Linked DNA regions of Drosophila melanogaster. The protein of the gene in region 2 interacts with the protein of the main gene of each other region in a pairwise test. Each region holds a gene or a part of one and is shown on either strand. Other genes may lie near its edges.

What was found.
Region 1: the proteins of Ing5 (region 2) and Gbp3 interact in a two-hybrid assay, tested with the Drosophila melanogaster proteins (one large-scale study listed by BioGRID).
Region 3: the proteins of Ing5 (region 2) and Lapsyn interact in a two-hybrid assay, tested with the Drosophila melanogaster proteins (one large-scale study listed by BioGRID).
Region 4: the proteins of Ing5 (region 2) and CG32809 interact in a two-hybrid assay, tested with the Drosophila melanogaster proteins (one large-scale study listed by BioGRID).

What each region holds. Positions count from the first base shown.
Region 1 is NT_033777.3:22,974,108-22,980,528, reverse strand, and holds Gbp3 (Growth-blocking peptide 3), read right to left. Parts: upstream 3,260-6,421; 5' UTR 3,222-3,259; coding exon 2,742-3,221; 3' UTR 2,365-2,741; downstream 1-2,364.
Region 2 is NT_033779.5:13,383,543-13,390,797, forward strand, and holds Ing5 (inhibitor of growth family member 5), read right to left. Parts: upstream 3,771-7,255; 5' UTR 3,672-3,770; coding exon 3,635-3,671; intron 3,572-3,634; coding exon 3,215-3,571; intron 3,149-3,214; coding exon 2,946-3,148; intron 2,716-2,945; coding exon 2,557-2,715; intron 2,495-2,556; coding exon 2,393-2,494; 3' UTR 2,306-2,392; downstream 1-2,305. Other genes in the region: loqs (loquacious), read left to right, coding at 1-122, 195-480, 1,115-1,252, 1,442-1,690; CG7099 (uncharacterized protein), read left to right, coding at 4,094-4,178, 4,237-4,789, 4,844-5,579, 5,654-6,673, 6,730-7,255. UniProt on the Drosophila melanogaster protein: Component of the Enok complex which has a histone H3 acetyltransferase activity.
Region 3 is NT_033778.4:21,191,909-21,200,394, reverse strand, and holds Lapsyn (Leucine-rich repeat activity-regulated protein at synapses), read right to left. Parts: upstream 6,825-8,486; 5' UTR 6,529-6,824; intron 2,788-6,528; 5' UTR 2,785-2,787; coding exon 2,602-2,784; intron 2,375-2,601; coding exon 2,231-2,374; intron 2,166-2,230; coding exon 1,961-2,165; intron 1,904-1,960; coding exon 1,718-1,903; intron 1,634-1,717; coding exon 1,478-1,633; intron 1,421-1,477; coding exon 1,263-1,420; 3' UTR 964-1,262; downstream 1-963. Other genes in the region: tud (tudor), read right to left, coding at 8,269-8,486.
Region 4 is NC_004354.4:1,688,160-1,696,363, forward strand, and holds the start of CG32809 (uncharacterized protein), read right to left. Parts: upstream 4,610-8,204; 5' UTR 4,280-4,609; exon of another isoform or gene 4,138-4,279; intron 3,199-4,137; 5' UTR 3,154-3,198; coding exon 3,048-3,153; intron 2,975-3,047; coding exon of another isoform or gene 2,972-2,974; coding exon 2,921-2,971; intron 2,854-2,920; coding exon 2,714-2,853; intron 2,650-2,713; coding exon 2,041-2,649; intron 2,029-2,040; exon of another isoform or gene 1,720-2,028; coding exon of another isoform or gene 1,021-1,719; intron 965-1,020; coding exon of another isoform or gene 743-964; intron 611-742; coding exon of another isoform or gene 490-610; intron 416-489; coding exon of another isoform or gene 322-415; intron 1-321. Other genes in the region: b6, read left to right, coding at 322-415, 490-610, 743-964, 1,021-1,719; a6, read right to left, coding at 6,084-7,313.

The DNA.
Region 1 (6,421 bases), on a different chromosome or scaffold from region 2:
TTCTAAAACCGATCAAACAAATATTCTCTCAAAGGATATGATTCTCGGATAGCATATTCCATGACACAATTGTAGTTGAGTCTCAATGGTATAAATTATATAAATTTAAAGAAGTATCTACATTTTTCCCAGTGTAATAGCTGAGCTTCAGCTGTGGCCGGTTGAGTGAATGCTGAAAGGAATGAAATTAAAAGACGGCAAAAACGACAGAAAGTGAAAGAGAGAGAGAGAAAAACTTATCATTTTTATTATCCTGCAGCTGCGCATATTTATAACCGTATGTCCCCGTCTCTTTCGCATTCGCATTCACCATGCGATTCACCATCTCTTTCATCATCGGTGGCCTTTGTGTGACTCGAAAAAGAGTTGGGAATTGAAGGTAAATTAGTGTTATTAAAATGGCTGCACAAAAATAATTGCGCAACTAAATGAAAATTTTAATGAAAATTCTTTGGTTTCTTCCCTAGTTCACCTCCGTACCTGCCAACCTGTGTACCTATGTATATACCTGTTCGCTTTTCCGCTCTTTTGCTGCACCGATTGCCCCTGCTTTCTGTTATTAGTTGCATTGTTTCCGCAGTTGATGTCCGTGCAATTAGCATAATGAAAGCAGCTGCAAAAGCTGGCATTTTTACGTTTGTATAACTAGGGTAAAATGCCAGTGGGATAGAGCATCGGTTGGCCGGCTAAGGGCTATACAAATAATGGAGTGCGTAACTGGCGGAAAAGCCAGATTCGAGGGCCGCAATTACGCCACAATTGAGTTATGTTCGCATCACATCAATTATGCTGCCACCGGCATAATCCTTCAAAACTCATTGCTCTTATCGCGGCCATTGAAATGCCACCGGCCATAGATCAACCTTATCAGCGCAGCCAAAGCATTTTCCTGCGCCAAATAAATTCCAACAGTTTATTATTCTAATTCGCATGCCGAATTCCGGGCTGGAAAAGAACGCCAGGCACGTCACTGCCTTACCCACCCAGAAAGCCACCTGAAAAGCCACCCAAATCCAAACCAAGCCAATCCAATCCAAACCAACCACCCACAGACAGCCAACCGATATGGCGAAAAAGGAGTTGTGCGAGTGCCAAACGAAATCAAATCAAAAAGTTCACAAAAATGCCAGACCAAGAGAAATTAAGTTATAAAATTTTAAGGACTATGCGCAGTTTAATTTCCAAATACCATGCCACCGCCAACCGTACCACCAAGACACACAGGTGGGTGGGGCGGTGTGGTGCGTTGTTGTGGTGGTGGTGTGGTTTTTGTTATGCGCCGATTACCATAAAAACAAGCCAAAGAAAGTTGCGTCCTCCTGCTAAACCGACGCTCGGAAACGGAAATCAAGAAAACAAAAAGAATGGGGCACAAATGAAGTCAAAACCTGGCTAAGGCGCGCGCTCCTTCAGTTAATAAAGTTAGTTGCGTTTGGCTTGACGGCGAAACTTTTGAGTTATAAGCGCGCAAATTATGGCTTACAACAAAGCAAAAGCTAAAGCTAAAGCAATGGTTGTGGCGGCAAAAAGCAGTCCACAATGCCCACGAACAAAGGAAAACAATTAACATGACGAAGACACATAAAATTTCCACCAGCCCCATTCCAAATCCTCCTCCTTGATCCCCATAGTTGGGTGCGTCGAATTAGCAGTTGTATTCTCTGGGCTCGAAATGTGCGTCAATCACGTGATGGAAGTAGGCTTCAAAACCTACACAAATCCACCACCTTCACCCATCCAAATGGGCCAAAAAAGAAGGCGTCTCTTGTCTGCGTCTTGTTGTTTTGTTAATTTTAATACATGTACTTTTTATCGCTCGGCATTCCGAGCATTCAAGCTGCTGGCTGGAATTAAGCCATTTGTTAGCTATATCTGTGGCTTTGGCTTTTTCGGCAACTCCTCCTTCAATCCAGGACCTCGTCCTCCTTATCCTGTTTGCTGGAGGCTATCAATGGCGGGGGCTACAGGTCACAGCACATCACAGTTATTTTCGTGCAAATGGCATATTTTTTATGGCTTGTCGCTGGCTGCTCGTTTCTCCCGTTGTAATTAGACAAAATTGTTGACTGCCACGACTCCGCCCAGTGCCCCGCCCATTTGGAGGTAAGCCCCCCCACCCCCACTTCATTCAGTCCCTAATTCCGCCACTCATGTCTGAGTCCACCGATTCCCAACCAACCAAAGGAGGTGTGTTTGACACTTGGCGTGTCGGGACAGCAAAAGTATTATTCCCGAACAGTGACCACTCACGGCGGAGAATGCACTTACAAAAATATGTTCAAAAAACAATTAAAGAAATTTTAATTTATTTCTAGAGGTTATAAGCAGCTGGTCTAAACAGCAAACGAAATAGAGTTAGGGCATGTAAGTTGTTAATTATTTATCTATTTATTTATTATTTTAAAAATGGCCAAAACTCTTTTTATTCTTGCCAACAGCGAGTGCATTGTTTTGAGTCCACACTTTTTTCACTAGTATATATGAAAATACCAGTTTGATTTGAAATGTTTTCAACTCACTGATAACACAATCACTAGTCACAAACCGCAGCCATTTGTTGTGACTGGCAGATTGGTGGTATTTACACCCGAAACACTTATCAAATTGTTCACTGTGTTCGATCTTTGGGCAAAAGCCGTTCGTTTGGGTTTTATTGTGATTATTGGGAGCAGGCATGTATATAAAAACGAAAATTCCACAGGTATAATTATGCAGTAAACACGTGTCACGAAGCCATCGAATCACCAGATTTCCCGACAGCGACCACGATGGTCGGGCAGATAGCCGGGCTGGCAGGGGAAGTCGATCATGGCCACCATCATGGTCTTCTCGGTGGTGGTTTGGCCGGCGACCGGAGGCTCCGTGTTTGCCTCGTGGACGGCCAGCACCTGTTGCTCGTCGAGATCGACACACTGGTTGGGCTGAACGGGACTGGTCTGGTTATTGGGACAGGTGATCCTGTGCAGGCAGTATTTCACACACGGTTTTGGAGCCTGAACATTCGCCAGCTTCTTTTTGCACTTGAACTGCGCCACACAGTCCTTCGGGATTTCGGGAATATTGTTGTTGATGTAGAAGGGTCGGCGGGGCTCCTCTGTGGTCGTCGTAGTTGTGCTGGTTGTTGTGGAGGTGGACTCCCTGTGGAAAATTCTGCCCAGAATTCCGCCCTGGACGGCGGCTACCAGCAGAGCGGCCAATAAGGCCACAAGAAACCGCTTCATCGCCGACTTGTTGGCACTGCGATAGACGTTCGACTACCAACAGTTTGCACGGTTTCCAAAGCTTCGGTCGACGGTCGCCACTCGATAACCTCTGACCCCGAAGCCGCGACTGAGAGATAAACAGACTACCCGCATCCACACACACACACACACACAGTGGAATATGCGAGTGTGAGTATGTGTACATTTAATTCCATACAGTTTTTCGTTCATTTTTGGTCGGCTTTAAATTGGTTTATCGCCAAATTGAATTGCATTTGAGGTGAGCGGTGGGCTGAGCCAGCCACACGCACATTTTGGCAAATTTGACACTGGAATTGAATTATCTGCATTCTGTGAACCGCAAAATTGTATAAATAAATATTAGTCAATTCGGTATTTCATACATGTGCACGCATAATTTTGAGCTGCCATGTGAAAAGCGGAGGGTCAACCAATCTGCTATTTTGGTATCATAGAAAATGAACGGGGCAGGAAGCACGATTGAAAATCGAAACGAATTTTCAATGATAATGTCAATAAGCGAGTGATTTGTAAATTGTTCTTTAAGTGGATTCAATTGATAAGAGTTTGTTTGAAATGCTCTTTGACAAATGTAGGAAACACAACCCACAGCAAGTATGGTCTTGCTTTCTGTTCTAAATCATTTAGTTTCTCTGCATCCTTTATGGCATATTATGGTATATACAAAGAGCCTTCTGGTGCAATGTTATACTTTTGTGAACATTGCTATCGTCTGGGCCCTAGAGCCACAAGTCTTTGAGAGCAAACCTAGGCTACCAAAGAACATGGCCAACATTTTAAACGCATCAGATGTTGCTCATTATTGAAAACAAAGCGTCTGCATCTTCGATAGGCGAAAAAGTAACAAAAGGAGCACTCTGATGACATAACCAACGGACAGTAATGAATCAGCTTATTGGTAATGTGGGGGGCATTGCCTTGAAGTTCGTCAGCTGGTTGCCGAACTATTTGAATAATTGATATTAATAGCTGGCAAGAGCTGTCAAAATTAATTTGTGATGTGTTTTCAGAGCCAGATTATTGATGATGATGATTATGGCCAGGCCCTAATGAAGGCAGCGGCTAATGGAAGTGCTATGGAGTCTGACAATTGAGCCATTCCGGCAATTCGACGGATGCGCCGAGTAGTTGAGTCTAGTTCTGGCCGATTGTCCTGCCGCAGTGGCATTAATTACACTTTGACTCGATAAATTGATTCGGCATGGACGTGCCGAAGTTCGAACTTGGTCCACTCATTGACTGGATGGGATATCGCTTAATATGTATTAACATTTATTGCCGGCGAAAGTTTCGTAGCGAGGGAGCAAAGAATGAAAGCCAAGGGCAGGCCGGAAATTGCCGAATACTGATACTTCCGCCGGAAATAAGTTCAGTTCTTGTTGTTCACGCTGCTTGAGGTGGCTCCCTATCTTCCTGTCTTTCTTCTCAGGAGTAAATTAAGTTAAGGACATTGCCACTCTATCTATCAGTCGATCAAACACGAAGGACAACGCCTAAACGGCGCCTCTATCTCAGCTATCAACGGAAACACATTTTACATTCACATTCGCCGCACAAGGCGACTTAATTGCCGCCCAATCCCCGGTTCACAGCACTTTGCACAATAAACAGATCATAATCTGGCTAAAACTATCAATTTTGAAGTCAAACAGAAGGGAATATCTCAATCGCCCAAGACGCAAAAGGAGTGGAGAGCGACGAAAAACAAATGAAAATGGTTTACAACATAAAAACAAACTGGAGAACGGGACGAAATCGTGACGAGTTCGGGATGTTGGGGGGATGGCAACGATGTGTTAACACTTTGGAGGTTGGGAGAAAGAACGAGTGGTGGCCGGGTGACAATGGAGACAGCCGAAATCCTTCGATGGGTTCTCCAGCTCCTCCGTAGGTCCTGACGACTGGGACGACTGGGTGTCCTTATAGATTTACGCACACTTAGGCAGCATTTACTCAGTCCTCCAACTTCAAATAGTCGTATAAATTGTTCGGCAGGCGCAACTGTAGACCGGGCTTTTTGTTTCGGCTCCTCTTTGTCTTTGGCTTTCGGTTCAACTGCTGTCCGTACGGAGTTTTACACTGGAGAAAGAGCTGGATGGTACGTAGCTAGTGGGTGGGGCATTTCCGGGGCGTGAATGAAGTGCCATGTTCTCACGCTCACGCATTGCCAAGTGCCTGCCGGCCCACATGTCGTATGAGTTTTATGTCCCTCTGTTTATATGACTGTCTCTGTGCGCTCAATCGTTTCTGAGACACATTTATTTGCCCAGCTCGTCGTCGTTGCTGCTGCTTTTGTTAGTTTAACAAATAAAATTAGTGCTATAAACATTCGTTTCTCTACGTGGCATGCAGCATGGCCAAAAGGAAACCCAATTAAAGTTTTGCTTTAAAACAAGTAAAACATAAGCTACTTCTGGGAAATACTTAAAGCTATAACTATATTTTATTTTCATCGAATGATTTCAATTTAAGAGCCCCTTTCCATCTACACCTCTGACTTCTTCCTAATATATTTGTTTACACAATCGCAACTCTTTGCCACTTCATGAGTTTTTCTGCTATTGTGCCACCCACTTCCTTGGGGGATTTATTGCCATAGCGAATCTGTTGGTATTGGGGATCAGGATTCAAGTTTCTGGGTTGAGAGGTCAGAGGAGGAGCTGGCAAGTACGGAAGGAAGGCCAGACAAGGACCGAGCGTGTATCCCATTTCCGGCTGATGACTCGGATGTTTGTTTTAGCGGCGGCATTCCACTGTGCTGCAACTTCCCCAACACAGAACTGCTGCATCGCAGCACTATTTGCACTGGCGATTTCACAAGTATCTATTAAATTTATTTTATATGAGCGGCATATCGATACAAATGCATTTGGCGCACAAATAGCCAGCGGGCGGCATAAAACATAAAAAAAGATGCTTAGAGGTACACAAAACGATAAACACACAGTATATTGGTGGCACAAAATGAAGGTTTAGACTTGCCGGTATCCTATGATTAAAAGTTTGCAAATATTATTTGAAAGTTCATTTTGAACATAGAATAAGTTAATGTAAATTCAACTTCATTTAATCACAATAATTTAATGTAATTATTGTCGTTATTTTAGAAAATGAGTTGTAGTTGTAGCTGTAATAAAATCTGTGTGTGTGTACATAAAATAAATAGTATGTGCCTT
Region 2 (7,255 bases):
GACAAGCTGATCGGCGCGCAGCTGCCGGAATCGCCTAGCAGCTCCGCTGGTCCGTCGGTGACTGGGCTCACGGTCGCCGGAAGCGGAGGAGACGGCAATGCCAATGCCACAGGCGGAGGAGAGTGAGTTTTTATTCTATTGATGTCTAAGATATGATTCTAAGATATCCAATTTATTGTATTATGTCCTTGCAGTGCCAGCGACAAGACCGTTGGTAATCCGATTGGCTGGTTGCAGGAAATGTGCATGCAACGGCGATGGCCACCGCCGTCGTACGAAACGGAAACGGAAGTGGGTCTTCCCCACGAGCGGCTCTTTACGATCGCCTGCTCGATACTCAACTACCGCGAGATGGGCAAGGGCAAAAGCAAGAAGATAGCCAAGCGCTTGGCCGCCCACCGCATGTGGATGCGTCTGCAGGAGACTCCCATCGATTCGGGCAAAATCAGCGACAGCATCTGCGGCGAGTTGGAGGGCGAAGTGAGTATCATTCAAGACATCGATCGTTACGAGCAAGTCTCTAAAGATTTTGAGTTCATCAAGATCTAACCCACAAGCAATTTTCTAATATTTTTAGTGCAATTATTTTGAATGCAGTCCCATGCTTTAGTTTATAAAATTTTAAAAATTGATTTTATCAAATATATGTCATAAATGTTATATATTATTTAATACGTTTGTCCTCTATCCCTTCTCAAATGTAATGTAGAACGTTTAGAGTAATCCTCAGTTGTAAATATCCCTATAATCTTTTAAATTATGTATCTAGCTAGAGTTTTAGTACTATAGCATCCCTTTTATAGTGTGCTATCTGATATTTTTTATTGTCCTTGTTTTTATAACTAATGTTTTTGACATAATTATACATATAATTAACATAATGCTTACACCTTATTTATATTTCTGGTTTTATTTATGGTTTATATTGGCTTATTTCATTTTTCATTTTTCATATTGTTCCTTGGCATGGTGATTGTTTTAAAGAACGAATCTGTAAAGCACCTTTTCCACACAAAAGTGATATGTTTCAACTCACCATTGGCGTGTGTGATTTCAAATGTGTGCGAAATGCAATGGAGAAAAGAAACCAAAAACTTTGCGCTCTTATTTACAGCCCCGCAGTAGTGAAAATTATTATGGTGAATTGAAAGATATCTCTGTGCCGACACTGACCACGCAGCACAGTAACAAAGTATCCCAGTTCCATAAGACCCTAAAAAATGCAACGGGCAAAAAACTGCTTAAGTTACAGGTAAATTTCAATCCAATAACGCTTTTTATTCAAAAACGATCACAAACATATTTCCAACATTCAAAACCTGCTTTCGAAAGTACATATTTGCCTTAACCCCTCACAATCCTTATAATAATAGTGTTCTTGCTTGAAAGTTCAAAGTTTAATTTGACTCTGCTAATTCGACTCCATTTGTATTTTTTTCAGAAGACTTGCTTGAAGAACAACAAGATTGATTACATCAAGCTGCTGGGCGAAATCGCCACGGAGAACCAGTTCGAGGTGACCTATGTGGACATAGAGGAGAAGACCTTCTCTGGCCAGTTCCAGTGCCTGGTTCAACTGTCCACGCTGCCCGTTGGCGTTTGCCACGGCAGCGGACCAACAGCTGCCGATGCCCAGCGGCATGCCGCCCAGAATGCCCTCGAGTACTTGAAGATCATGACCAAGAAGTAGGGGGTGCAGCCAACTGAATAGCAAAATCTGAACGCACACCACGACCACGATCACGAGTATTTGATGAGAGCGATTACCGAGTGGATACGGGATAACTAATGCACCAGTCTAATTGCTTTTCTTTCCACTTTTTGGCTCAATGCAGTGGCGATGTTACATATATATATATATATATTTTGTTTCTTTTCCACCGATTCCTTTGATTAGGCAGTTGTATTTGTTAACTGCATATGTAAATGTTCATATATGTACTACACTTACCGATGAATGTATGTACGCTTGCAAATACAGACAAGCGTGTAATCGATATTGGAATCTTCTAGTCGCTTTCAAATTCTGAAAAACGTAAAACGGCAGATAAAACTAGGTTTAAGGTAGACTACGTGCTAGTTTGCGAAGGAAAAAGGCTTATGAATATAATCGGTATTTGGTAATCGCTACTTTTGCAGTTTTCTTTTCCTTGGGCTGAAAAACTTTGTAAACTCCGAATTAAAGGGCATTGATGAATTGAAATTAATCAATCCAACTTTAGAAATATTCTGTGAAAACATCTTTTATGATATGGAATTATTTAACTACAAATTAGTTAGGAAATAAATTGACAAATATAATACTGAAGTTATAGTAGCCGTGGCTTTATTTAAATAGGTAATTTTGTGCTTAATCTAAAGTAGTATTCTAAGTAATCATAAAGGATTGCATCTATTTCTTCTTTCTGTCCTGCGTACACTTGGGACAGAACCACTTGCCCTTTGGCTTTGTGGTGAGGCCAACACAAGCGAAGTGAAACCACTCGATGGGACACTAAAATGGTAGAGTGAAAGATCTAGAACTGACCACAGAGTACATCAAAATCGAATACTCACGTCGGGATTGTCGCAGCCAATCATCTCTCCATAGGACACCTGGTGGCATAGGCAATATGTGGGCTCATTGGGATCGACGGGCATGTCCATAACGTCGCTGGGATGAGTGGCGGCCGTGTGGCACGATTCCTTCTCAGAGTCATCAACCTCGACGGTTTTCTAAATGGGTATGTTAGCAAAATGAGTAAGAATGGGGTTTCGACGATAGTGGAGGCGTGCATGTACATAAGTGAAAATGCAAACGATATGGAAAACAGTGGATAATGCAGGATTTCTATGGGGATAATCTATAAAAGTAAAGAGTATTCTATTTAGGGTCAATGAAAACTGGGAAACAGTAAACATACTAAAGTTCTAACAATGTATAGATGAGAATGTGGATGGTTTACCTTTTGAGCGCCCCCCTTGCGAGTTTCTTTTTCTTGATTTACCTTGGACTTTTTCTTTTTGCTACCTTGCCCGGCATTGCTGCTCGAATTGACACTGGAATTGGCGTTAGATTGGTTGTTGCCGCGCCCAGTTTCCTCATCCGAGGATGCGGACTTTTTCTTTTTGCCCGTCGTCTTGCTGTCCTTGGTTTTTTTGCGACCTTCTGTACAAATGGAATCAAAGGAAGGGGTCAGCTTGTGGAAGAATAGATACTTTGGAACAGTCTTACTCTTGGCCACCACTTCCTCGGATTTGGCACGCGTGGATGAGGCCTTCTCCTGAATCTCACCCTCGAAGCGTGCTAAATCGTTGTCCAGTCGCCGTATCTGCTTGTCCACTAGTTCGTAGGTCTGAATGGCCAGCTGCACCTTGTCGTCGCTGTACTCCTTGGCCTTTCCGAACAGTGCCTTGATATCCTCCTGGCGCTCCCTCCTCTCATCCTCGCTCATGGCCCCGTTCTCGCCCAGCTTGCGCATAAAGTCCTTGGCATGGCTATCGATGCTCTTCATCGCTGTTTGTGCTCGATCGTCTAATTTTCGCATCAGCTTAAAATTTCTCTCCAGCTCCGTTGGCAGACTTTCCAATCCTGTTTGTAAATCGTGAATAATATATGTTTTCGAGTGTTTTCCATGCTTAAGAATCTTCTTACCGTCTAAATAGTTCTCTAGGTATATAGCCGATGACATTTTCGGTGTCAAATATCGGATTTAACAAAGAATATGGAGTGTGTAAGCTAAATTCCAGCGTCTGTTTACGATAGCAACAGCTGTATTGTTGTACATGGGATATTTAGGGATGACAGCTCGCTTTTTAAAGTTATCGATTACTTTACAGTGGTTAAAAGCATAACCCAAAACAATTGGGCAGTGCTTAAATTTAAAAATTAAAAGAAAAAATAAAATATTTACATTAAGTAGATTTCGGATCGGATTTTGTGGTAGTTATTTGCTAAATCTTTGAAAAACTTTTAGTTACGACTGCGCAACAGCTGTTTTTAAGTGTGGTTACAACTTTATGATGGTTGGCAACTCTACATCTAGTATAATCACAATCAAAAACACTAATTTGTTTTGATAGCTCATTTTAAAGGTAAATTAAGTTTTGAAAAATGAGCGCCAGTTCCGGAGGATCCTGGATTAATGCCATCTACGATGAGGTAGCTCTGGAGGGTCTGGAGGGAGTGACATTGCCCTGTAAGAGATTTCCATGCCCTCCACACATCAACTCCAAGTTATTTGTTTATGCTTTTAGATCTCTGGGATCTTCTGGCCAGGCGACTGGAGTTTTTCCCCTCTCCGCTGCCTGACCGCATCCGGGAACAGACGTGGACCTTGCTGCTACGCACGCCGCCTCACAAGATCGAGTTCTTTGAACTGCCGGCGGAAAGACCACTAATGCCCTACTATGATCGCCTCAACGACATCGACGAGCAGCTGGGATTGCCCGTGGTGCCCGAGCAGTGTCCGTACATGTTGTTCCCGGCCGCCTATGTGCAAGAGGGCGACATTAAGGGTAATTGCAACGACTTCAAGACACGTAAGCTGATCCCTTCCAGCGATCTGCATTCTCTTAATGCCGCTCAAGCAACGGAACAGTGGGCGGGCAGGCTCGTAGTGGTGGCCTCCCAAGAGCTGCGGGAGACAGCACTCACGCCCGAAAGCCTCCTGATGCCCAAGAATCTGCCACTGCCCAACTACATCTTTCTGGAGGCCATCGGACGGTCTCGGTACAGCGGACACACCACCGCAGGCCCTTGGTCGCTTATAAACTACAGCAAGGACACAGGGATTCTCTTCTATATCAAGTGAGTTTTATGAACTATACTTATATTTAATATTTAAAATTACATTCCTTACAGAAACAAGTTGATAAATCTGCAGTTGATTATTGCCCAAAACTATAACGAAATTAACAAGGGACGCATCTTGGTCTCTTCGCTGCTGATGCTACCGCGCTTTTACCGCATCTACAAGAACCACTCTCAGGAAAATCTTGAAAAACTATACTTGGGAATAATGCGGACGCCAAGCCGCCAAGTGCCCGTCACCGAAATAACCGATCTTCTAGGCCGTCCTACCAATTTTAAGACAAAGAAATTGCTGGTGACCCACTCCTTTCGTAAGTTCTTCGAGACTAAGCAAGTTGAAAGGCCCGTTGCGCCACTGACAAAGTCGGGAAAGCAGTCCAAAGCAACCACACGCAAGGTGACAGTGATACAGCTGCGCAATCCGGATATGCAACTGAAGGACCTGTACAAGAACGACGACAGCGAGGATAATCAGGTATCCGAGTTCTTGGATCTGGGCCACTGCTTTCTTGATATGCCTCCGGAGGAGGAAGTTTTCCGCGCAGTGGCGAGATTCGGTAAACGTGGTCTTAATAGCAACGAGTTGTGCCACTACACGGGTATCAACGCCACCTACATGCGACACTTTGTGAAGCGAGTGAAAAAGCACGGCCTGGTCAAAGAGTACTCGGAGCAGGTGGGAAAGAGCCGGCAGTTCCGCTTTGTGGCCGTAGGACATTTGGGGGACCTTTCAAAAGAAGACGAGATCAAGAAAAAGGCACTGGAGATTAGGTGTAAGGATGAGCCGGTAAGTATATATATATATATATATATTATATAAGGAAAAAGCGTTTATCCTAGTATTTCTATATTATTATCTAGAATATTACCGAAAGCACTGATGTCCTGCTGAAGGACTTGCCCGAGATCGTGACGAATGCCCGACCCATAGCGTTCAAAATTAAGAAGACCAGAGCCGCCAATCAAACGCAGCGCCAAATTAACCGCCAGAAAATGATTGTGCGCCAGATCGACCAGAATTGTTTGGTGTCCCTGCCCCGCGTCTTAAGATCCGTCCAGGAAACGGAGCGGCAGGCCGGCTTTAAGGACAGCCTATGTCGCCGCTCGTTGATGCGCCTGCTGCGTCCAATGGTTGAGGAAAATATTATAAACGTGTTCGAGATCACACTGCACTACAATCAGCGAGTTCGTGTCTACCGTTTCGCCACGCATCCAAAGATCGGGCTTGACCACGCGGTCATGAAACGCGAGATTGTCAAGCTAAAGAGTAACTTCCACTTGATCACCGAGGAGCGCATGAAGCGGCCATCACAGATGGCACCCAAAGAGCGCAAGGAGGTACTCGCTCGTCGAAAACTGGCGCCAGAGCGTTCAAATGCGGTGTTCAAGACGCAGGCACCCAAACTTCTTTTGGCTAGGACACTGCACGAGTTTCTCTACTATTTGCACCACGAGCTGTCGCCGGAACAGAAGCCCCTGCCCATGTCCGCCGAGCTTGTGCAGCAGTGGCAGAAGTCGGAACCGGCACTGCAGCCGCGCCAGTTCTTTGACGAGTGGCAGGCTGATGAAACAAAGGTTCAGCCCTACACTGAGGATATAGGCTGGCGCACCTTTATACCGCCGCTACCGCGCTACGTGGACAAACCATCTGGCTGGCTTTACTTCATGGATGCCATGGACCGAATGCCGCTCTCGCTCTTTATGCGCATTTGCCGCATTGAGCGCGAAGCCAACGACGATTTGCGTCTACAGCTTCAGCATCCCATCCGTCAGCACTATCTGCTTTCCCAGCTGAAGCTGGAGACCATTGTGCCACGCCTGAAACTGCAGCAGATTTATGTGGGCACTCTGCGACTGCTCAACAATATGGGTCTGATCCAGGTGGGCAACACTATTCCTTTGCTTTAAGTCCACATATTATAATTATTCGTATTTAGGTGAGCGAGCAAAAGTTAGGTCGTGACTCCCTGCACCGCTGGGTATTCCTGAATCAGCGAACCAGCTTGCTGGACACAACTTCCAGCACTGAGCACAACTACATGCAAGTGAGCGCCGATCGCTCGTATACGAAGCTTAACTTTGAGTTCTCCAGCGTGGAGCAACTGGGTAACTATTGGGCCAAGTTGCAGCACATCTGCATTTACACGAAACTGGGATACCGCAAATCGTTGAGCACGCAGAGAATTCTGCCGGCGCGTTTGAAGGTCCTAGTCTTCCAGCCAACGGTGGAGTTCGATCAGGCCGTTGAGCTTGACAATGGGACAGTTCCTGGTGATCACCTGGGTGCCGCTGGACTGAGCTCCCATTTGTTTGCCCACCAGTTCCGCCACTGGTCGTGGGTGCAGCGTCAGAATGGTGGTAAGTCGAATGCAGCAAGGGAAAAGGCCAAGAGGACAGTCCGGAAGCGGGCAGTAATTACGCGCCTGAAGATTGGACCCCGACTAGCGGTGCGTAAAGCACGCG
Region 3 (8,486 bases), on a different chromosome or scaffold from region 2:
AAGCCGGTGGGAGATTTATTATACCCTCTATATGTGAACTACACAGGGTATATAGTCACGAAGGCAAGTTGGGTAAATGTATAAGTGAGAAAAAATAAAAATAAATAAATAGTGAATTTAAAGTCCCGAGCCAAGGGTCTTTTTAAAAGGATTTAAAAATGTAATTAAAATAATTTTCAACATCCTAGGCTACCGCATTAAAAAAGGAAACACATAAGCTATACATATGGTAAAATACAACATACAACGTACAGCGTACTTTATAGTCGATATACAGGTGCAGTATGAATACTATATTGTTCTTTCTGGTTTCACATACGAATGCGAATGTGTGTGTGTGAGGAGGAAGGCGCCAAAGAAAAAGTATTTTGCATTCCGCTTACTTATATTTCATTTCTATTTATGCTTCTTCTTTACTTGCCGGCTATAAGCGTAAAAGAGAGAGGCGCAGAGAGAGCGCGATAAAAAAGGTGCGAAAGAAAGTCATCAAAAGCGAGCATTGAGTAGTAGTTGTGAAAGAGACGAAGAGCGACGAGACTATACAAAAGCATTTTAAGAGAACGCAGGCCGAACAAATTGTAAAGAAAAAGCCTAATAAAATCGAAATTAATATATAAATTAAAATCGAATTAATACGATTTTTTCATTAGCAATTTGGTAATTCAATTAAAATGAATTGTCGATTGAACATGGAACTGAATGCTCTAAGCCTGTAAAACCATTGCATACTTGTTGGCCGTGATGAAAAGGCTTCACCACCAAGTCGGTTGCAAAATAGCTTGCCTACTTTCAGGCTGATGCACTTTAAATTGATTTAGGACAATTTTTAAGTTAAACTAAAATAAATAAATAACGATATATTCAAATAATGTATATCTCTAATATTTTTCCTTATTCATAAAAATACATAATGTTGTTAAGAAACTAAATATCCAAGTCTAAATACAAACTCAATACAGACTTCTTCTTTAAATCAACGTTTTATTGTCATTCGTTATAAAAAATCCACTCCATTGCTGGCTTAAATCTATGTTACGTATTAAACCAAATAAATAAGCGATGGCTTTTGAGCAAGGCAATATTCTTTGATGGCGCTGTTTTTGGTTTTTGGTGATTTTGTGTGATTTTTGGTAAAGGATTCAAGGCAGTTTGCTAGGTAGACGGTTGTCCTAAGGCTAAACTAACGCATAAATGGTAGGTAATAAATAACTGGCACCTAAGACTAACTAACTAACTAAGCAACTAATTAACTAACTAAAGTGCTATTTTCGGGCAATATCACAGTGCAGAGGCTCGTCCTCCGGCTGACGGTTGTTGATGGCGTTTCTGGGCGAGATCACAAACGGCTTTCGCTTCTGGGCATTCCTCTTTCGTCGCTGGGCTCGTTTTCTCCTACAGTGTATCACGCAGAAGATGACAACTGTGGGAGGTGGGAAATGTATTTACTTATGTCGAATAGAACTAATTCGTAACTCACTTAAAAGCACAAAACAAACTCCGCCAAAGCAGCCAGCTCCAAAGAGCCAGAAGCTGCGCGTTTCGGCAAACTGCAGTGTCGTCTGGCAACTGGCGAATGTTGGCGAATGGATCGTTCGATTGTAGGGCAGTGGACACTCGCGGATGTCGAGCGCCTCTGAAAATGGAATTGCAAGTTGGTCATGTGCCAAAAATAAGCAGCTGCTCCGACTGCAGCGCCATCATCGCCATCACTACTTACCCAAGCAAACTGGCACGAACTTCGGACTGGCGCCGAGCATCATAAGATGGTTGGTGACCTGCTGGCAGCCACACTGGCTCAACTGCGACTTGGTCAGATCGATGACCTGCAGGTGGCACATATTCGCCAGGCTGTCGATCCTGAAGTTCTGCAGCGGATTCATCGAGGCATTCAGTTGCCAGAGTTCTGAAGAGAATCGTTCAATATTAGATAGATTCCATATATCTACATATCTCTGCTTACTTGGAAGTATGCCCAGATCGGGTAACTCCTGTAGCTCGCAACCTGCCACGTTCAGGTACTCCAGTGGAGCACGAATGGGCTTCTCCAGTGCCTGAAGATTGAGGGATGTTAGCTCATTGCTATCGATGTATAGGTTTCTCAGTCGCGGCAGCTGGAACAACTCCAGCGGTATCGTTGTCAGTCCATTATTCGAAAGATCAATTTCCTGGGAATTTCGATTAAGAAATTAATTAAAGACACACTCGTTGATTAATTGGATGTCGTTGTTACCTGGAGCGAGGTGAGTGGCTCGAAGGTTCCCACCTCCACCGATAAGATCATGTTATCATAGAGCATCAGAAACTTAATGTCCGTGTATCGCTGAAACGAGCTAGTTTTCAGCTTCCTGATGCGATTGTGCGATAGATCCAGAACCTGCAAAAAACATTCAGCGAATTGTCAGATCATTTAATTTCAGTAGAGAGTTTTGAATGGCATGGGTAGGGTTCCCATACACATCGACTATGCATGTCGGTGTAATGGATAAATTTATGTTTGTGGGCAACTTCTTTATTCTTTAATTAAGCTCAATTGAGGCTAACTGTGACGAGGGGCCCAGCAATGACCAAGTCTGATCGCCTGACCCCTCGATCGTTACTCACCTCCACCGAACTCTTGAGGTTCTGTGGCACCTCCTTGAGGTCCAAGTCGTAGCAACGAATCCGGAGCAGCTTATCGATATGGCCGTACGTGCACTTGCGCACTTCCGACTGAATGATGAATCCGGCGGAATGCAACAACTGGAGGCACACGATGAACGTCAGCAGCTGCCAATGCAGTTCCATGCTCTGCCAAAATAAATTAACATATATACATATAGATGAAAATGTAAATCCAAACGATGGGACTTCATTTCGGCGCTAACTTGTTTATATTCTTGATTAAAACTAGAACAATAAATTTAAGCAAACAATCGCCCATGGGCTCGTCAAAGCGTTTATTTTCGAATTAACAATTTACAAGATCATTGCCGATCGCTGGGGGTCTGGGTCTGGGTTTTGATTGGTTTTTGGGGGTGAATGCGGACTCGCATCCAAAGCTGAATGCATTCAATCAAGCGGATCTACCGCACCTGACAGATGGAATTAAACCATGGCAGCTCAGATACAGATACAGATACAAACTGAGCTCAAATTCGAAGCCTAGGTCAGCTGCTGTTGGCCTGCGTATACGCGATATTCATATTACGTATACGTAACACACAATCAGTGTCATTCCCGCTGCATTCATGCACATCAACAAAAGATGATTCCGCATTGCGGCGGCGGAAACATTTGGCGGCCCTATAATAGTAATAAAAGCAACTAGCCCGAAAAATAACTGACTCACTGCCATTTTGGGAAGCACTTGCCATTGCTCCAATATCTTATCGTGCGGCGTGTAAATCTTTTGATTCTACATCAAACAGCAAAAGGGGTAGCCATAAATCAAACAAATATTCCATTAAAATGCCTTTATGGCTCTTTTCAATATGTCAGATTCACAAAAGCATTTCCCGAAATTTGCCAAAAGCAATATAAGTGTTTTTGGTGAAAATGAAAGCCAATAATCGATTATGGGCCAGAAATAGGAATGCTTCGACGTGATTTATACCTCAGGATAAGTACATATATCTAGACATGATCTAAACATGTAAGCCCACTCGGTATGCACATTTGGGAATTGGAAATGGCCAGAATCCATTGTTAATGTCTCTGTTACGCCCCATTGAAGGGCAATTAGAAAATTGCACGTTTCCCAACTTTGTATCAGCTGGCTTTGCGTGATTTTGCATTGTGAAAAATGTGAAAATGAAAACCGAACAACATGAGTAATGTCTTGAGTATTGTAATTTTCCATTTGTGACATTCGGGCTAATTGCTGTCGCAGCTGAAGTTTTCATCATTTCGCCCAACGAAGCTGAAATTCCCGTGAAATCAATTGCGGGTCAGCAAAAGTGGATAGTTCTATTTACACGAAGCTCAAACGCTTGCTTACCAATGAATGATGAACGACGTCGTAGATATCCATCCATATTGGCAAATCACTTTGAGCCCGTCCAAGTGGCGGAATTAAGACATATGGAGCGCCCAGTTGGCCGATAAGATCTTGGCCTCTTGCAAAGGCAACAAAAGAGTGCTAATCAATTATAAAGTTAGTAACCATTCGTCGTTGCTCATACTAGCTGCGTTGGCTTGGAAAAATTTAAGTGATTCATGGTCCCCATTTAGACATCATGATTCGACCATTTATTAATTTTTGCCTATTTTCCAGCTAGCTGAAGTGTCTTGGCCTTTGACCAAAAAATGTTGCGCTCCACTTGAGAGGCATGTGCTCACGAAATGAAAACATAGAAAATGAAAAACAGTTTCTGCCAATATGTTTGCTCCACTAGCGGAAGCGTGGCGCACACTTTTGCCACCCAGTGTGGTGCGGCTACCTCTGTCATTAGAGCCGCCTGTCGAATCAGCGAAAAAACGAAGCAGAAAATATCAAAAGAAATATTGAAGCGATTTCCACACACATTCTCTTGGACTGACAGCAACCGCAACAATGGCTATAAATATATTTCATATATTTAAATTAAAATTAACCAGAAAAGCCCAAAACAGTGGCCAGAATGAGATGGCAGCATAAACAGTGGCGACCAAATGCAAACTTTTGGATTTGAGGAGATTGCATCGCATCCCCCAGCTGACTGACTTTATTATACAACTTTTGTTAGGGGGCTGGGAATTCAAGGAAATTGGCCATAAAAAGGGCTAATGCCAGGCACCAAATGGTAGATCCACTTGGCGGCTATGGCCATAAAAGTGATCCCGTCCCGCAAATCAAATGGTGAATCCGAATTAGCCTTAGATATTAGTTCTTTGCGAGTTGGAATTATTGGTTGGGGTCACAATTTATGTTTTTCACTTTCGCCGCATTTGTTCAGCTTCAATATTTATTTATATATTATACCCAATCAGGCGGCAGACCAGACAAACAATGCCATGGAAAGGCGAATGGGGTGGCAGAAATGGGTTACGGATCGGAATGGTCCAAGGCGCTAGCGATTCATTCACCCAGCTGCCCGTATCCGACTGTCGACCAACGGATTGCAGCCTGCCCGATATGATAAATATGACGAGGAGGGATTATTTATCTGTTCGCCGAGCCAAGCGATTATTGGACTAACAAAACGCAACATGAAATCGAAAATCCCCCACCACAAAAAAAAAAAATCGGAAGATAAAAAAAAAACACGAAATTAGTATCAAATATTTTAATAACATTCTAAACATTTGTGAATGGATTTATGTGCTCTTGTGATAGTTCCTGTCACACATTGTGGGCGTCGCAGAAGTAGGCATATATTATCGGCTATACCCCGTCCGATCGGCATATATATCTTTCAGCTCCACCCCCTCCCTGGCCGACCCCCAACAGGTGTGCGTGTGTGTGTGTGTGCACCGGAGGGCCCCGAGATTTATTCACATTTCTCGTTGCTACGATAAAGATTTATTTGTTTGGACTCTTCTCTCTCTCTCTCTCTCTGATGCACTGATGAAACATTGCTTTGAGACAACCTTCCCATCTGGGCTACCTTCTCATTACCACCCACCTCCCAGAAATGCCATTGGGTAACAATCATATTTTCCTCAAAAAAAACCGAAGCTTATCAGAGTACGTCAAGTGCTCTTATCGTGTAAGTCCCCATTCTGCTGATAGCTTCTTTCAAAATTATAACGGCGATGCCAAGAACAATAAAAAAAAAAATTAATTGAAACGGCCCCGTAAAGATTGGTGTAGCATAAAAGAGCGTTGTTCATTTATTTCAATTAAACACAATCAAGAAAACATTTGCCCAGGGACTGAAAAAAACAAAAAAAAAAAAAAACAAAAGTATCCAAATACAGTGACTACTCTACTTTATCGGAATGCCAGTCGAAAATATCATATTTCGATCATGTGTTTATTATTTAAGAATATGACATTTTGTATAACTTTTCTTTGTTGAGAACGTTTCCCTATTCTCGAGGCTTTGATTACTTTTCCAGAACACACTGGCTGTAAAGATTAGTCTGCGCCTTGATAAGCAGGTGTTCCCTACGTGTTTTTACCACAGTTAATTACTGAATAAACAGCCCTGCTGAAGCGTTACTTTTAGTAGATACACACAGCAAGTAGTATATAGTATATAGTGAAACTTTTATTTTATCTGCAAGATATGTGTGCTACACACACAGAGAAAGGCTCACAATTGCCGTTGTGCTGCCTCCGCTAATTGAAATCAATTTAACTTGGATTCTATCGCATTATGCTGTCGTGGAGACTCTTTTGGTTGCATATAGAGCATATAGAATCCAGAGACTGGCGCACATTTCAATGCTAAGTTTCCTGATTAGAAAATTCAATATAGCTTACACAGCTGTTGTGCAATCTAGTCGTAGTACTATGTGCACCATTCACGATAACCCGCCAGACCCCATAATACTACCATCAAGAAAGCAAAATAATCAACAAAAAAAAATCAAAAAAAATCCAAACAGATTTTTCCGTCCGCTTACCGCTGGGGAAATTCAAGTGTTCAGGTATAATCCCATTTAAAGTCGGCGATGATAATCCTAGTAAAATGGCAGGATTCTTGTTAGTTCACTACACACACATCACTCTATGCTCTTCTAGGATTCTTCGATTTTCTGTGATCTTTATATATTTTATATATATGTAATATTCAAACAGCTTTATATGTTATATTATCAATATTTTTTAGTTATGATTACGCCGTAGAATGTTATAGCAATCGTTACGGAGCGCGCACGTTGGCCGGAACCGTTCAATTCAACCGCAGACACAGAATTGAAACGATCGTTTCAGTTTTTGGCCTTTCGGACTCCGACAATCCGATCGCCCGAGCAAAGCACACCGAAAAATGCTGATAAAGCGGACGCACGCTCCCAGATGACACTGCACTGCACTGTGAAAATTCGGATGGAAAATTCGGAGTGGAGAGAGAAGCGCTCTCTTTGATAACAGCAATGGAAACTGATACACTCTGCGACTGGAAATTGAATTGTTTTCGGGATTTTGACAGTTCAAATGTGGATATTTCTGATTTGGCCGGCCACTCATTCAATTAGCAAGCGATTGATAATCGAAATTGATACAGAGGCATCTAATGAAGCATCCACGCCAGCTGACAATACAGTTGTAAACGCGTATGAATGATATCGCAACTAACTAAATGAATGTGAATGATATCGCGGATAGTCAGCAATGAGAGCTTGATCCGTATCATAAATGTGGGCAGACGACTTAATTCTCTTCTTATCAACAGGTAAAATTCCCAGGCACCCGTAGATCTCCTCAAGCACGGACATGAGCCCTGTCCGTCCGTTCGCCACTTTTCCACATCGTAATCCAATAAATCCCCGACTGACGACCGCTAATTGCTACCTGGCACCGGGTCTGGAACTCCAGGTATAACTACCAGGTAATAATATACGCTCTATATGGCATTACTTTTCATCGTATTTATTGGTTTGTTTTAATATATTGTTCACAACATGAAAAAGAAATAGTAGAAAAATATGACATTGTGATTGAAGGTTTTAATACATAAACCCATATTCCATTAGTTTCCTTTTAGTTTCCTTAAGTCTTCGATTTGCAATGTTTCTTGTTTGTTTAGGTAATGAAAAGTAAAAAAAGTACGAAAAACATATGTGATTCTTCAGTTGGTTAATCGAGAAAAGAAAGTACAAATACAGTTATAAAGGGAAAAAATAAATAATTCATCTGGAGGAGGTTTAAACTTCACTCCACTTCTCTTCAATTCGCCAACTTTCGTTGATGATGTAAAATTGTTTTAAACAAGGTTGAGCAATTAAATAAATCGTCATCCGCCTTAATAGCTACTAACATATATAGGTTAGTGCCAATTTTATCTAGATTACATTTTTTTTTAAAGTTTTTTTCAATATTTTTCGTTTGTTTTTATACATTTTTTTTCAATGATTTTTCGTTTTTTTTTTTGTTCGATTTTTTTTCGTTTTGTTGTGTTTTTGGTGATAATGTTTTGCATTCCGTATTGATTCTTTAATTAATATTAAAAATTGCTTTCATTTTGGTTTTCCATGAAAAGTCAATGAAGCATCTTGGCTAATCGTGTGGTGTCCTCCTCTTCCCTTTGAATAAGTTTAACTCGTTCAACTTAATGGATAATACATCGCATGTTTTTAGCCAACCCAATCACAATCTCCTGCATGGAGCACATATGAGTCCGATCTGACTGTACAACGGGGTGATCACTGACATTCCTGAAGCTTCTCGCTGATGTTCTTGCTCTGGTAGAAGAGTCGTACGACATGGGTGCCAGTTCCCTTGGTGGCCAGAATCTCTACCTGGAATGTTTCAGAGAAGCGAGTGTCGATGAACGACTGGAGCAGGGCCGCGTCGCACTTGGATATGGTCGACGCATCCAGCTCGCAATGCCTGCTGTATCGCGCCGGCTTGGCCAACTCCT
Region 4 (8,204 bases), on a different chromosome or scaffold from region 2:
TTAAATGTATGCATATCACATGTTGCCAGCGTAACAGGATTTGCCGCATGCCGGTTGTATAACCAACCGCCTGGCTCACCGCTTGGGCGGGTTTCCTGATCGCATCTGATCACCGATGGGGGGATTCCTCGTGGCTCGTGAGATGACTAGTTGCCTAGCGAAACGTTCTGGCCATTGAGCCATCGAGTTGTTGGTAGTAGTTGGGAACGCTGCTCCACTCAGTTTCGCAATCTGAGCCGCCGTTACCATTATTGGCATGAAAGCGAGTCTCAAAGCCAATCTGATCCACTTATGCATCCACATCCACATTCACACTTGCAGCTGGAAAGGAACCACGCGAGGTGCAAATCTGGGTCGCAAATGCGCAGAATTCCAGTTTCCTTTCGATGGCCATAAAAGGTCAGCAAATGTACAGGTAAGTCTAGACGCAACCATCCATCGATCAATCCGGCGTCAATCCGTCGAATCTTTATCGTTTTTCTGCTCAAGATTGAACTACCCGTTGAAAATGCGCCAGTGGCATCACATGTGCAGCTCGTGGAATGGCAAGACGGGCGAGTGGCAGGCCTGGCTGAAGGCAGAACGCATTGGGCGTGGTTTCCACAACTCGGTGAGTTTGACTCCATTTGACTCCAATTACGCATATTGCAAAATGCCTTGTTCGCGTTTTCACTTTCGGCGTGCGAATGTCAGCTGCTATAATCTCAAATCTCCGTCTCCACTTAATTCTTAATTGCTTCAGTTGGTGGGACATAAAATCCCAGCGAATGGCAAGCTGCGCTCCGGCGGCAGTTCGGTCACCGGCGAGGTGAGCCACGGCCTCCACTTCGAGATGACGCTCGTCCAGGTCTATCGGGTGGCGCTCAGTGCAGGCAAGGCGCATCGCGACCACAAGCACCACCATGTCCACCACTTTGATCACGAGGGCCAGGAGGTCTCCAGCACCACTCGTGCCCCACCCTCGGTAAGTTCGTAACCAGTGCCCACGGAGACAATATAACACGCCAGACCTCCATTCAGATTAATCGTCCTCAACCCATGCACACGCTGCTCGCCAGTGGCCAGATCCCGACCCGGGTGCGCATCAACTTGGCCAATCCGCCGCCGACTGCAAGTGGTGCTCCCGCTCCTGGCGCGGCCGGAGCTCCGACCGATTCCGCCCAGCAGGCCATCACCATCAACACAAATTTTGTGAACGGACAGATAAACGCGGGATCGCGACTGGTGGCCCAGCAACTCCTTGGCCTCTCGCCGCCGAGCGGATTGCAGCCTAGTGGCGGTGGCAAACGCTTCCAAATGCTAAGTAACTCAGCCAACGTGCAGTTCATCGACGAAACGGAGACCCACATCCAGTTCAAGAGGAACACCGACGCCACTAAGAAGGTTCAGAAGCGCGGCCTGGTGCTGCTGGACGATGGATCTGTGGTGGACGACGGTGTCGGTTCCGGAACGGATGGGAGCTTGATTTACAACGGTCTCGCCGACTTTGGCGGACAGCAATTTAAGCAGGATCTTACGCTCAAGATGAGCCTGGAGGAGGAGATCAGCACGCACGACCGAGAGCCCGCCGAGGAGGAGGTAAGGGCCGTGATGGCCATCTGTAGCAGCTGCCACACGGAGCCTTTCCAGGGTGCCATCGTGTTTTCGTGGAAGGATGTGCGCGAGCACATGAACAACGCCCTCAAGGGCCTCAGTGTGGGTCCATGTGGTAACTTCTAGTTGTTCCCAAAGTTCGGATAACATTCTAGTGTCCTAGGACCCCAGCTTAAGCTTTCCCAGCCCCACCCCATTATTTCCATATCTTTTTTTTTTCTATATATGTACGAATAAGTATTCGATTGGTTGGGCATCTTGTGCCACAATTGTCCATGTGGGAGTCAACGCTTTACTGTTGCCACCCATTTGGCCACCAAACAATCCTTGACTCGCTCATGGACACCAATCCATCCTGCTTCCCTAAGCCCTACATCCTCACCCTAGCAATTACGCGGTGATATTGAATAAAGGACTATTTAACTGATACCATCTAGCAGCACTTACCTTTGATTTGTGGATATGCTGGTGCTTGTAGTCCGAGTCGAACTCCGGCTCGCTGAAGTAGCTCTGATCCTGATCCCAATTGGCCTGCGCCTGCGGCAGGGGTTGGGGTATTCCAGGGCCGCCGGGCAGAATCTGGGGCGGGGCTGCCACCTCAGTGGACTCAAAGAGACGCAGCACGGAGCGATCCCTGATCTCGCGCAGATGCGAGCGCACGTCCTCCAGCTCGTAGAACATATCCTTGCTGGCATCGTGAATGTAAATCTTCACATTGGGCCCCTCCAGATATGACATGGTCAACTGGCGCGGAAACGAGCGTACGAACAGGGCGCGCACCGTATCAATCGAAGTGATCTCGTTGGGCAGCAGGGCGCGCTTCGTCTCCGAGCGGTACTGCAGAAAGACCAGGCCCAGCGGTCGTTCCAGAGTTTTCGAGGGCGTGCGTACCACGGGGAGCGAGGAGCGCTGCTTGCCGCCCCTCCGGAATCCGGTGCTGGCCGTTTCCACCTCCGACATGATGCCGGGATCGTCGTCGAACAGCGGTCCCTGGTTAACAGGCGCATAACCGCGCATCGGCTGGTTCTTTTTGTTCTTCTGCGCGCGCGTACTCATCTAAGAAGGGACAAGAATCAGAAACTGATGGTAGAAACGAGTTGAGATGGGAGATGGAGCTCACCTCCAGATCCATGGCCCGCTGTTGCTGGGGCGCCATCTGATGGGCGTGTGGATGCTGCGAGCCGTAGACCAGCATATCGCCGCCGAGCGTATGTCGTCGTGGATCGTCGCGTCGCATGGCTCGTCGTCTTTCGTCGCCACCTGGGGAAACACATAGACACTGAGGATGGGGCTACAGATCCGTGGACGTCTTTGGTCCTTAACATACCCTGTTCATTCGACGGAAGCCGTCCCGACTTTGCCTCATTCTGCCAGTCTTCTTCTGAAAGAGAGGGAGCTGGAGTTAGGCTCATTTCATTTCGCTTCCTTCCGATTTATGGATTCCGATTACTTACCGCCCTCTCTACCCTTGCGCTTCTTCTTCGACGAGGAGCTGCTGCTGCCGCCGACGCTCTGGTTGGAGGAGGCGCTCTTGTCCTTACTCTTCCAACGGATCAACATCCTGCAGCCGTTTGAGATGTGCGGAGCTCAGTGGCTATGTTGCAGCTGCAGAAAATGAGAGACAACGGGGCGTATGGGTAACGTGAAAATGTCCTTATTTTTTTGGTCTTTGTTTACGTTTGGTACCGGCAACAACACGCTAAACCGCACACACACAACATGCAACTTTGGTGTAGATAAACCATGTATCCTCGCACATTCTTTAACAGGGTGTGGTGGAATGGAGTGGAGCCTCGCAGTGGCAGTGCCAGTGCTCAATGCAAAAAGTATGCAACGGAGTGCGCAAACTCTGCTCTGCAACACGGAATGGAGCAAGAAAGCAGGACAGAGCGGAAGGCGTGACTGGAGCTGGATCTGGAACTGCATGCGGATCTGGATCGGGACCCCAGAAATGCGGCTGGCAGAACAGACAATAGTGTTGGCCGAATACAATTGTTCATCGCAGTTGCCATTAAGATGCCATTTGCTGAGAGAACACGAATCACTTTCGAATTTGTTTTGCATATGTAAACGTTTTTGGAGTTGGAAGTTGCTTTAAACAAGGCATGTCAAGTTATTTTGGCTGCATGTACATGTTTATCTCGAGCAAGAAATCCGAGGAAGGGGCACCAAAAGGAAACGGACGCAGAGATGGGTACACACGAAACATGGTATACTTTTCAGTGCAGCACTTCACGGGTTTTAGTATGCCTTTGCCTTTGCCAGTGCCAGTGCCTGGGAATATGTACACAGCCACCCACATTCACTGCCCATCGGCATTATTGCGGGCCACTAAAGGAATTTTTGATTAGTTTTAGGTGCGGTGCCCCGGCCCGTTTTTTCCCAGCCGCCATTAATTGTGTCAGTTGCGTCCAGTTTCCAGGGCACGAGTGCACATTAAACACGGTGGAGGGGAGCTCGTGTCTGTTGACTTTTCCACACACGTCAGCGGTCAGTTGGCTGGATTCCTTTGGGTTTTCATGGGGGATCTCGTCCTAGCTGTACCTTGTATACCTATGCACCTTTGGGGGTGTGTGGGCGGTTCACCGGCGATGTTTCTGGCATTTTCTCAAACCGCACTTGCCTTGCCGATTCAGGAAGGTTTCACAATTAACGGGTCTAGGTGCTCATAGCTCGAGGAGCTCACCGATTTAGCCGTGTCCTTAGGATAAAGATTCGATTCAATTCGCTTCGCTTTGCACTCGTCACTACACAGCTTTCTGGAGTCAGGACACGGCACTCGTCCACCGACGCAGCATAACGCCAGAAGAGCAGAAATATTTCTGGTATATCTACACCGGAAAGCGTTTCCGCCCTAGCCGAACGAGGACTGCGTGCTTGCACGGCGCATGCGTTACCAATCGAGTGTTCCCGGACCAGCGAAGTTCCCTGGCATCCAGCCGTCAGAGGTCCTGGCATCCCTGCATTCCGACGCTGCTCTGTTGTGTGTGTTTACCTGGTGCCGGGGCAATCGAGTAATTTTCTTGGCGGTTGAGCGCATGTGGCTATCGAATGGCTCCAATCGATTACTGGGCGGAAGGCCTTTAAAAACAGGTGACGAAACACATGCTTGTCCTGCGCCGGCTTGTTTATCCGGGAGTAGCCAGGATTCCAGCGGATGTCTGGGCCCGCAGCCACGCCCTGGTGGAGTTTCCCGGCCAGTGGCCTCGCTGTGAGCAGCACCAGTTTGAATCGGACATGCGGGTCATCAGGGACTTCATCACTGCGAAGGAGGAGCAACTACTGATGCGGGAAATCGAGCCTCACATCAGCCGCTTGCCGTACGAGTTGAGCCACTGTGATGACGTGGGTGGGTATATATAGAGACTATATAGTATCGGATTTCTGGCTAAACTTCTTAAACTTCGCAGGCAGATACCGCGAAGTTGAACGCCGAAAGTGGACTCCCCAAAACCAGGCCACGCTGGATCACGTCTCGTGAGTTTCCTTCGGTGAGCAGGTCATGCCCTTCGTGCACATCCTGGACTTGGCTGACTCTGGCGCGATCAAGCCGCACGTGGACAACACTCGAGTGAGTTTGGCCACAGAAGATGCAACTCGATTTCATTTTCATTTACGATTGTATTCGACAGTTTTGCGGCAACACCACTGCGGGCATTAGCATGCTCAGCGACTGAAGCGCGTGACCAAGGATCCCATGACTTTGTCAGCCACTCTGAGGATCTGCTCCTGCCGCAACTCTCGCTCTATATTAAGAGTGCCCTAGCGCGATACGAGTTCACCCACGAAATCCTGGCCAGAGATCAGTCGTGGTTCAAGGAGCGCTTGGTCGAAACGAACCTTGATGGCATACGCATAGTTTCCTTTTCTCACAGCTGGTGTACATGTATATATATATATATATACAATGAAAATTTATTCCGGTTTGGTGATCAGCTAATGTAATACAGACGGCGGACTGCGACGGATTACACGACGTGATTCAGCCATGTAATATATGATACACTAAATCAAATGTACATATACATAGTATATCTTAAGCTAGCTACTTGTACTTTATAAATATTGGGCTCACCTTTCTCACTCGCTTCAAATTTTCTACTCCCTCTTATAATCTTTTGAAATTTGTGTTTTTTGCTCAACAATGTATATGGGTTGATGCTTTTCTACTTTCATTTGTACGTTGTCGTCTCGTTTCATTTAAAGCTTAAAATATGAGAATGACAGAGACAGGGAGATTAATGGGCAACTGAGTGAGATGGAGAGAAGGTGCTTGGGAAAGGGGAAGGATACAAAAATCGACCGGACAAGGACTAGTCCTGGATTCAAGGATAACTGGGAAATAGTGATGTGTTGTCGCTAAACCTACGTTCATATTTGCACTTCTAGCCACTGCTAGTTAAAGTCTATGCCGTGCTTCCGGCTCGGGGAATGATATTATGGCGATGGGGACTCGGTTCTGGCGGGTCATCGGTCATCAGTCATCCAGCTCATCCCAGTTTTCGGCGCCGCGGCAGCTGCAGCGGCAAGGCAACAACGGAAGCAGACGAGGTCGGATTTGCTGCCATCACCGGAAGGGCAAGAGCCACTGGAGCTGCGAGTCCGCCGCCGACGTACTGCAGATGCTGCACCACCGAGAGCTGTGGCTGCTGCTGCTTGAGCAGCTTGGCGGCAGCGTGTGCCTCCGCCGCAGCCACCACGACGGGGTGCACCGGTTCGGTGCCGACTCCTCCGTTGACATGTGGACCGGTGCTTTCGCAATCGTCTTCGTCTGAGATCAGTGATATGCTGAGGTCGCTGGACAGTTTTAGGGAGATGGGCGTGGGCGGCGAGGGAGCCACCAAGGGCGCCACTTTGGCGCGCAATGCCGGTGACAGTTTCTGCAGCTGCTCCGGCATCAGGTCGTTCGTGTATTCCGGCACTCCACTAAAAGCCAGGCCTTCGCGTAGTTTGCTCAGCGAGAGTTCGTAAATACGGTTTGCGATGACCGTGTGAACGGTCGTCTCGTCCGGCAGCGTGGCTGTGATGCCTCCGCCCACGTCCACCTCCAGAAAACAGCCCGTTTCATTGCCGCCCTCTCCGCCTTCGGCGGTGGCGAATCCATTGCTGGCCGCCGTCGACGCTCGACACGGCTTGGGGTGACCTGACACCCGCGTCAGGCAGTTGGCAGTGGTGGAGGTGCGCGGCACCAACGAAACAGTTACCTCTTCGATGGTCTCCGACTGTGTGAGCGGTGCGAGCGGTGGCGGTGAGCGCATGGAGAGCTGGGAGCGCACTCTTGCCGTGCTGCTGGGTTCCTGCTCGTTGTGCTCGTCATCGCTGGTTATCAGGATGCTGTCGGTCACTGGGTATGAGTGGGTGGCAGCTCTGCGCGGCGCCTGCCTTCTGCCCGTTCTATGTGCTCGGTGCCCTGGGGCAGGAATCAGGAGGCGATTGTGGCCAGCTGCAGCGGGCTGTCCGGCCGATGGGGTCTCATCGTCATCCGACAGCAGGTCGATGGTCACGTCCGGCTGCAAAGTGGAGGCGACATGGCGCCGCTGCAGATGGGACAGCTGCCGGTCAGTCTTGGAGGCGAGAGCCACTTGGTCGCGCATCCGGGCCATGCAGATCCGCTGGTGCTCAAGCAGGCGTTCCATCCACCGACAGCGGCGCCGCTTGAGACGACGGTTGTCGAACAGCCGGGGCGATATGTAGAATGGTTCGGAATGTTTCTGGTTCATGTCTATAGGCGGCAGGAGAAGAGTTAGTCTGTGACGCCTGGTCGGCCACTGGTGGGCACCTATTTACCGAGTGTGTGGACTCGTCTTCTAGCGGTGGCGGTGCCTGCCACGGGTTGTCAAGGGTCATGGGCTCGGGCCCGTGGGGCTCCTCCTCCTCCTCCTCTTGCTGTTCCACTGGCGGCGAGTACAGTTAGATCCACTGCTGCAACTTGCATAATTGCGTGGCGGCGCAGGGGGATTTCCTTGAGAGGAGCGGAGGCGCGGGACTAGGCGCTGCGCCTCCCGCCGCTGGACATGCCGAGATGCGAGCGGGGCCGAGATGGTTGTTTTTTCGCGCGGCAGCTGCTTAATTTGTGCTTTTGTTGTACTTTAGAGTTCTGTTTATAAAACTGCATCGATAAGCGACCACACATCGATAACGCTTCTCTCGATAGTCCACGCTGCGTGCAACCGTGCACGTCGACTGGCCAAACAGTATCTGTCGGTAGTTATCGATAATGCATTCGCCACTTGGGCGCGCTATTTAAAATCAGCTAGAGAAAATAATGAAGCTTCGAAGCAAAGGACAGAAGGATACAAGTGCTTTGGATCACCAGCAAATCCAGCGACTTGGACACCAGGTAGCCCCGATAAAATTCCTATTAAGTAAAACACTCTTATCTCAAGACAAAGCACTCAAGCTAATTTTGGCACCACCCACAATTTTGAGAAGCACTCAATCGGCGCCGGCGCTCTGTTTTCAGAAGCTTTCACTCACATCTGGGAGAGCTTTCACTCCACATCCGTACGAGGACCGGAACGATAGGGAAGACACCGACTCCAGCTGGAGTCAGTTGGCAGATCGTCGCCTCCGGATGCGGATGTAGATATAGCAACCGCCCTTGGGCTTTT